2 linked regions of the Coturnix japonica genome follow. The protein of the gene in region 1 interacts with the protein of each later gene in a pairwise test. Links are inferred from orthologs where the notes say so. Each region holds a gene or a part of one and is shown on either strand. Other genes may lie near its edges. The genes, in order: cadherin-1 and CBLL1.

The links.
Region 2: the proteins of cadherin-1 (region 1) and CBLL1 interact in a two-hybrid assay, tested with the Homo sapiens proteins (2 studies listed by BioGRID, with this or other methods). The link is inferred for Coturnix japonica from reciprocal best matches to the Homo sapiens genes CDH1 and CBLL1.

What each region holds. Positions count from the first base shown.
Region 1 is NC_029526.1:16,832,463-16,835,800, forward strand, and holds the end of cadherin-1, read left to right. Parts: coding exon 1-119; intron 120-195; coding exon 196-338; intron 339-418; coding exon 419-643; intron 644-833; coding exon 834-1,055; intron 1,056-1,131; coding exon 1,132-1,262; intron 1,263-1,442; coding exon 1,443-1,586; intron 1,587-1,700; coding exon 1,701-1,913; 3' UTR 1,914-2,772; downstream 2,773-3,338.
Region 2 is NC_029516.1:13,295,443-13,299,909, forward strand, and holds the start of CBLL1 (E3 ubiquitin-protein ligase Hakai), read left to right. Parts: upstream 1-1,373; 5' UTR 1,374-1,389; coding exon 1,390-1,504; intron 1,505-1,588; exon of another isoform or gene 1,589-1,836; intron 1,837-3,561; coding exon 3,562-3,729; intron 3,730-4,062; coding exon 4,063-4,163; intron 4,164-4,392; coding exon 4,393-4,467. UniProt on the Homo sapiens protein: E3 ubiquitin-protein ligase that mediates ubiquitination of several tyrosine-phosphorylated Src substrates, including CDH1, CTTN and DOK1. Targets CDH1 for endocytosis and degradation.

The sequences.
Region 1 (3,338 bases):
CCCCCTGTCTTCATGCCCCCTGTCAAGAGGGTGGAGGTACCAGAGGACCTACCAGTGGGGCACGAGGTTACATCCTACACGGCCAAAGACCCCGACAGGGACATGAGACAGAAAATCACGTGAGTGGGGGCTTGGCTGGCAGAGAGAGAGCATGGGGTGGGCGTTGAGCTCCCCCTGACCGCTCCCTCTGCCCAGGTACCGCATGGGCAGCGACCCAGCAGGCTGGCTGGCCATTGACGCCCAGAACGGCATCGTCACGGCCACCCAACCGCTGGACCGTGAGTCGGTGCACGCCATCAACAGTACATACAAGGCCATCATCCTGGCTGTGGACAATGGTGAGGCTGTGCCCCCGCTGCAGGCAGATGGAAGCTCTGGGGATGTGGTCTCTTTGCCTCGCTAACGTCTGGCTTTGTAGGGGTGCCGGATAGCACCGGTACGGGGACGCTGCTGCTGCTCCTCCAGGATGTGAATGACAACGGGCCCACCCCAGAGCCACGGTCCTTTGAGATCTGCAGCCGGCAGCCTGAGAAGCAGGTGCTGAGCATTGTCGACAAGGACCTGCCCCCACATACCTACCCCTTCACAGTAGCACTGGAGCATGGTTCCAGCAACAACTGGACTGTCAGTATAATAAGCCAAGGTAAGTGCTGTGGGGTGTGGGACACTGAGCAAGGGCCAGATCCCAGCTACTTCTTCCTGTGCTACCCTGAATGCCACCAGCACTGAGCTGCTGCTGCTTTCATGATGGGGAGCTGCCATGGAGCAGAGCCCTGATAGTGTCTCCACACTTGGGGACGACTCTGAGCCCAGTTCCCTCTCTCTTGCACAAGATGAGCTGGCCGTGGGCCTGAAAAAGGAGCTGGAGCCGGGCGAGTACAGCATCTTTGTGAAGCTGACGGACGGCCAGGGCAAGACACAGGTGACACAGGTCAAAGCCCAGGTGTGTGAGTGTGAAGGGACAGCCAAGAACTGCGAGCGGAGGTCATACATCGTCGGTGGGCTGGGTGTCCCTGCCATCCTGGGCATCCTGGGGGGCATCCTGGCCCTGCTGAGTGAGTATGGTGTGATGGGGAAGTGGATGGGGCTGCTTTCCCCTCGCAGCGCTGACGCCATGCCCTGTGCTCGCAGTCCTGCTGTTGCTGCTGCTGCTCTTTGCCCGGCGACGCAAAGTGGAGAAGGAGCCGCTGCTGCCGCCTGAGGATGACATGAGGGACAATGTCTACAACTACGATGAGGAGGGCGGCGGCGAGGAGGACCAGGTGGGACCAGGGTGCCAGATCTCAGTGCTGCCCGTGGGATCCTTGCAGCACTGTTCCTATGGCAGGTGGCCCACAGGGGGGTTGCCATAACCATGAGGGATGTTTGGAGTGTGCAAAGCAGTGCCTGCAGCCATCCCTCCAGTGTCATGTTGCTGTTCTCTCTGCTCCATCCCCACGCAGGACTACGACCTGAGCCAGCTGCACCGCGGCCTGGACGCCCGCCCCGAGGTGATCCGCAATGACGTGGCCCCCCCGCTGATGGCCGCCCCCCAGTACCGGCCCCGGCCCGCCAACCCCGATGAGATCGGAAACTTCATCGATGAGGTGAGCCCCGACCGTCTGCGCCGGCACTGCTGGGCTGACCACAGCGTCCCCATCCCATAGGGCTGAGGCCGGGGGGGAGCAGCGGGTGAGCCCTTCCTCTGCCCTCCCTTACAGAACCTGAAGGCGGCTGACACGGACCCCACGGCCCCCCCCTACGACTCGCTGCTGGTGTTCGACTACGAGGGCGGAGGGTCGGAGGCCACCTCGCTCAGCTCCCTCAACTCCTCCGCCTCCGACCAGGACCAGGACTACGACTACCTCAACGAGTGGGGCAACCGCTTCAAGAAGCTGGCGGAGCTCTATGGCGGTGGGGAGGATGATGACTAGGCAGCCCTCGTCCCCTTGGCTGTCCCGCCACATGACTCTTGCCATTTCACCCCCTCGGACGTGCACTGGGTGTTGCAGCCAAAGCCCCCTCCAACAATATTGGATCCACCACTCGCATCCCTCCCCTTTGGTGCAGGGGAAGCTCAGGGTCACCGGGGTTGGAGGCTTTTGGGGAGCCCACGCTTGTCCTGCCCCCTCAGCCCCACACAGGACACGGTCCCATTTGGGGCTCCTTGTGGACAGGCTGGTGGCAGGCACTCCTTGGCCTGGAGGTGTGATGCTTCTGGATCAGCTCCCAGTGCCCGAATCCCACAGCCCCCAGCACGTGGATGGTGCTCAGCATCTCTCCCCCTGCAAGGAAAGAGGCCCCCATTGCCTCTCCCCCTTTGCTACAGAGGAAGGTATTTCTCCAGCACTCTCCATAATACCTCGTGCTCCCAACCCCGACATCACCGCTGCACTCAGGGGCTGGGGTGGCCTTTGTGTGGAGCTGCTCTTGAGTGTGCAACACAGGGTGGGCATCAGACCCACCAATGGCCCAATGATGTGGCATTCTCTTCACACAATACATGAGATAATTCTATTTGATATAGTACTTACGGGCAGATTTCTATTTTTTTGTATAACAGGTGATGATGCTTTTCCCATCTGTGTGTTTGTAATTATTGTTCTGTCAATGAGAGGTGCTTTCTGAAATCAAATGGCTTTACTTAACCTCCGAACCCCGCGTCTAAGCTGTTTTATATTTGTACTATGGGAAGGGGCCGATGCACGCTGGAAGGCCGGCGATTGTCTGAGTGTTAATTGATGCAATGATTTTTATATCAAATTGAAAGAATAAATGGTAAGAAAACCAACAGCTCTGTTTGTTGTGTGTACCTCTGCCCTGTGCTGCTTCCTTGGAGTGCTGCAGAGAGATGAGATGGGTTCATATCACAGCCCGTGTTTTCCCAGCACCGTGGGCTGAGGGCAGCACAGCCGTATCTAACAGCACTCAAGGTTTTACTCCCTGCCTGGACAGGAAGGGAGGAGCAGCAGATGGTGCGAAAACTGGACTTGCACCCAAGTGCCTTATCAGAGGAGCTGCACCCTGTGTGTGATACTGTGCCCCACTGACCAGCGTGGGGCTGCAATGCAGGCAGTGCTGCGATCGCTGATGTTTGCCCAGGCCTGTAAGGGCTCTGCTCGCTGCCCTGTAAGGCAATAGAAAGCAGAACACCGCGCCCTGCAGCGCCTGCGTGCATTCAGCCACCAGGGATACAAGCCGAGGACTCGCAGCCATCCCGGTTCCAGCCCCAGCGGAGCAGCTGCTGTGTGTGCTCTGCTTTATCTGTTTGTTTGACATACAAACATCTGGGGGCTGTTTGGCTGCAGCGCTGGGAACTCGCCTCGCCCCGCAGTGCTCCCCCACACACTGATCACAAC
Region 2 (4,467 bases), on another chromosome or scaffold:
ATATCATACTGCACTGAGAAGGATATTGCTGCAAGTAAGGTTAGTGGAAAATCTCAGGTGAAAAGCTAAGCACTAAGTACGTTATTCTGCCCTATGGACCTGAGTGAACTCCATTAAGATCATTGTAAAAAATCCTATAAATCTCAATCATATGGACAGGATCCTCACACAGTGGGCAAAGGCGTGAAACTGACATCTTTATTCTGTAATAAATGCAAAAAACTTCAGTTCTAATGGCAATCGGTGTCATTTTTTATTTCAAATGCAGTGGGGGTTTGAACCTCAAAGGTGCTGCTGGTACAGCCCAAGCTGGTGACAACATGACTTCTTATTACTGTTAAGCAAATGCCCTTTGTGTGCCAGACTGGCATCTCCATGAACTGGAACTAGGTGTGTGCTTAGGAGCCAAGCCAGACTGACCTGCACGTCCTGAGATGGAAGCATTTCTCAGAGTCTGTAATGCTTTTCTTTAGCCCTCTAGAGAAGGACCTGAGGATCCTGGTGGATGAAAAAAGTGAACAAGGCAGTAGCCTGTTCTTGCAGCTCAGAAAGCAAATGGTATCCTGGGCTCCATCAGAAGAGGGGTGGCCAGCAGAGACAGGGAGGTGATTGTCCCTCTCTACTCTGCCTTCAGGAGGCCCCATCTGGAGGACAGCATCCAGATTTGGGGGCTCCAATATAAGAAAGACAGAGAACTGCTGGAGAGGGTCCAGAGGAGGGCCACAAAGATGACTGGAGGACTGGAGCACCTCCTGTGTGAAGATGGGCTGAAGGAGCTGGGCTCATTCAGTCTGGAGAAGGATGGGGGGTGACCTCATTGCAGCCTTTCAGTATCTAAAGGGAACCTATAAACAGGAGGGGAGTCAACTCTTTGAAGGTGTAGATAACAGCAGGACAAGGGGAAATGGTTTTAAGTTGAACGAGGCAAGATTTAGGTTGGATATCAGGGGGAAGCTCTTTAATACAAGAGTGGGGAGGAGCTGGAACAGGCTGCCCTGAGAGGAGCAATGCAATGCACTTATCTCAGTCTTGGACTGTGTATTTCCTCAAGGTATGGCAGTGCTCTCAATTCAAATGGTACAAAGCATTCGACCTGTCCTGAATGTTGGTGTTCCACACAAAGTCTGAGGTGATGGTTCTGTATGTATCACTACAGCCTTTGCACTATGGGGTGCTACACTTGGAGATACATTTCACAACCCTTTTACAGATCTGTGTATTGAAGGCCGTTGTATCCACTGACTGAAAAACAAAAGCTGTGCGTACTGAGAAAACACTCCGTGCATCCGCATGGTATTCAGTCCTTGCAGATGTGTCTGTACGGATCCCAATGCTGAGCAGCACCCAGAGCAGTGTGTGCTTATGGCCCCCGCTCGGCTCCATGGCGCCATGGCCGTTTCCCCTCAGCGCGCTCCTTGCCGCTCTCCCCGCCCGTTGCCCCGAACCTTCCGCTTCCGGCCGCGCCCTTCCTCTCCCACAGCGCCCCGCGCCATGGACCACAATGGTGAGGAGGGCCGGGCCGGGCCGGGCCGGGCCGGGGGCTGCTGGGCCGCGCTGCCGGACGGGGGGCGGTTGTGAGCGGGCTGCGGGGCGGAGGGCGGCTGGGCCGGTGCTCGGGAACGCGTCGGGCCGCGGTGTGAGCCCGGGCGCGGGGCCTGAGCCGTGCCCGGAGCGCCGAGCTCGCCGTCCCCTCCCCCAGCGAACGCGGCCGATCCGCGCTCCGTTCTGCGGGGCCTGTGCGTCAGGGTTCGGGTTTGTGCTGTGTTATGGATTATAAGAAGGCCTAAAATGCTCAAGAAAACAGAGGAGCTCCGCTGCTGCTTGCATCCTCTCCAGGTCTAAAGATTTGGGTACAGCTGTTGTACTTGTTTAGGGCTGGGTGTGTATCCACAGACCAGAGCGTGTCTTACAGGCCTTATGAGGAGCGGCTGAGGGAGCTGGGGTTGTTCAGTCTGGAGAAGAGGAGACTCAGGGGAGACCTTGTTGCTCTCTATAACTTCCTGAATGGAGGTTGTAGTGAGCTGGGGGTTGGCCTCTTCTCTCGTGTAATCGGTGATAGAACTAGAGGGAATGGTTTAAGCTGCGCCAGGGGAGATTCAGGCTGGACATTAGGAAGTATTACTTCTCAGAAAGGGTAGTCAGGCATTGGAATGCACTGCCCAGGGAGGTGGTGGAGTCACCAACCATGGGAGTGTTCAAGAAATGTTTGGATGTGGTGTTGATGAATATGATTTAGCTGGGAAGTATTGGTGATGGTTGGACTAGATGATCTTGTAGGTCTTTTCCAACCTTGATAATTCTGTGATTCTGTCGTCCTTCTGGAAACAGGCAGGAGCAAGTAGGAGCCAACTCTGCCCGCTGGGTTTGGGGCTGTGGGCATTCGCTGGGCAGGGTGAGAACTGAACTGCTCCCGCTGGACAGCGCAATGGAGCGAGCGCTGTGCTGAGTTCTGACCTTGTGTTTGGTGTATTTATCAATGCTTGCAAATGGACCGACGTCTGTAGGACTGCTGTGGCCTGTAGTGCAGTGTGTTGTTTGCTGTGCAGCAGAGCAGCCCAGGGAGCGATCAGAGGAAAACAGGTGCTGTCTGATGAATGGATCACAAAATATGGGCACTTATAATACTGAAGCAAAGTGAGTGTGAAGGCACAGTCCTGATTTGGAACTTGGTTGCTGTTGCAGAGGAAAGCTGCGAGCTTTGAGGCACAGAGTTTACACGAGGTGTTGTGCACGGTGCCCTGATGGGGCCCTGTCTCAATGTCCAGGTACTGCAGAGCTGTCACCGAGTTGTGTGTCAGTTTTGTTTCGGAATGGAATTTGCCTTCTGGGTTACTTGTGATCTTACACACTTGTCCATCTCCTTTCTATAGGGATACAGACTTAAAGGCATCTGAACATCAGTCTGATAATGGGTTTTGTAGAAGTCTGAGTGTTTGTTGCAAAGTGCTGACTGAATGTGCTATTTTGTCTATCCATGTTCCTGTTAAAATGGAAGTGAGCTGGGTTGGTTTGTGAAGGGTGTGATTTTATTTTAGTATAAATGAGATGCTGTGTGGTAGGTTGAGGCAGACTTGCTGAAAGCCAGAGAAATTGGGGTGTGCACCAATCCTTGGCAGCACTTTCCTCTCCAGGTTGTCTCTTGGTGCCTGTTTTGGGCATATCCTTGTTTCCTTTGGTGCCAGTCTTAAATCTGGCCAACGCGCCCTGTAGAGAGGAATGGTGATCTTTAGCAAGGATGCTATGTACTCTAGGCACCAATATGTTTGTGATACTTCATGCTGAACTTGTAAATGATATGTCCAGGTGCAAAGGGTGGAACAGGCTGCCCAGAGAGGTTATGGATGCTCCATCCCTGGAGGTGTTCAAGTCCAGGTTGAATAGGGCCCTGGGCAGCCTGGTCTGGTATTAAATGTGGAGGTTGGCGGCCCTGCCTGTGGTGGGGGGGTGTTGGAGTTTGATGATCCTTGAGGTCCCTTCCAACCCAAGCCATTCTGTGATTCTGAGAACCTTCAGAAACTCTTTTGTAACTAAGAAATAACAGAATTTCCTTTTCTTCCACAGACAATGATTTGCAAGGAACAAACAGTTCAGCGTCATTGGGTGGGCTTGATGTTCGCAGAAGAATCCCTATAAAGCTGATCTCAAAGCAGACCAATAAAACCAAACCTGCTCCTCGGGCTCCCAGAGCTATGAACAGGATGCCTGCAAAGACACAAGCTGGGGATGAAGGTAAATTGCTACAAGCAACTCACCCCGCAGTGAGGCAGTGCATTCTGCAGCACTGCTGAAGGCTTTAGTCAGTGTTGGAATCCAAGATTTTTTACAGCTGCTCAGCCTGTTTAAGTTTCCAGGTTCTGCTGCTCTGTAAGGATTAAATTATGTCAATTCCCCAAACAAATTCACACTGTTTTGATTGTACCTTTCTGCAGAATAGCCCAGCAGACCGGGAGTGTTGCAGCCCGTCTTGATGTTTTCAGTATATGATGGTGCATGCACTCAATAGCAGCCGGTGTCAGTCAGGGAAGTGGTGTTGCCTTGTGTCTGTCTTTCCTCTTTCCACAGAAGAATTTGATTTTAATGAAGAGGAGCGATACGAATGCAAAGGAGGTGAAATGTTTGGAAATCAAAGGAGATTCCCCGGACCCATTTTTTGGGACTATAAGGTAAAATCGTGGATGGGAAATGGTGGAACTTTGTGAATTGTACCAAACTGAAGGTTATTTTAAGAAGTATCTACTAGGATGAAAGCACTTGCATTACTTTGATGTACCAAAAATACATTTTTATCTTTGCGGTGGTCTTGCTTCAGTCTGGTAATTCAGAAAGGGTGGGTTGGTGATGACTGCAATGAGAAGAAGCTTTAGTAATGGTTCTCTTTCTCTGTTCTTCTAGATAAACTTGCTGGGGGAGAAGGATGATACGCCCGTCCATTTCTGTGACAAGTGCGGATTGCCCATCAAAATGTAT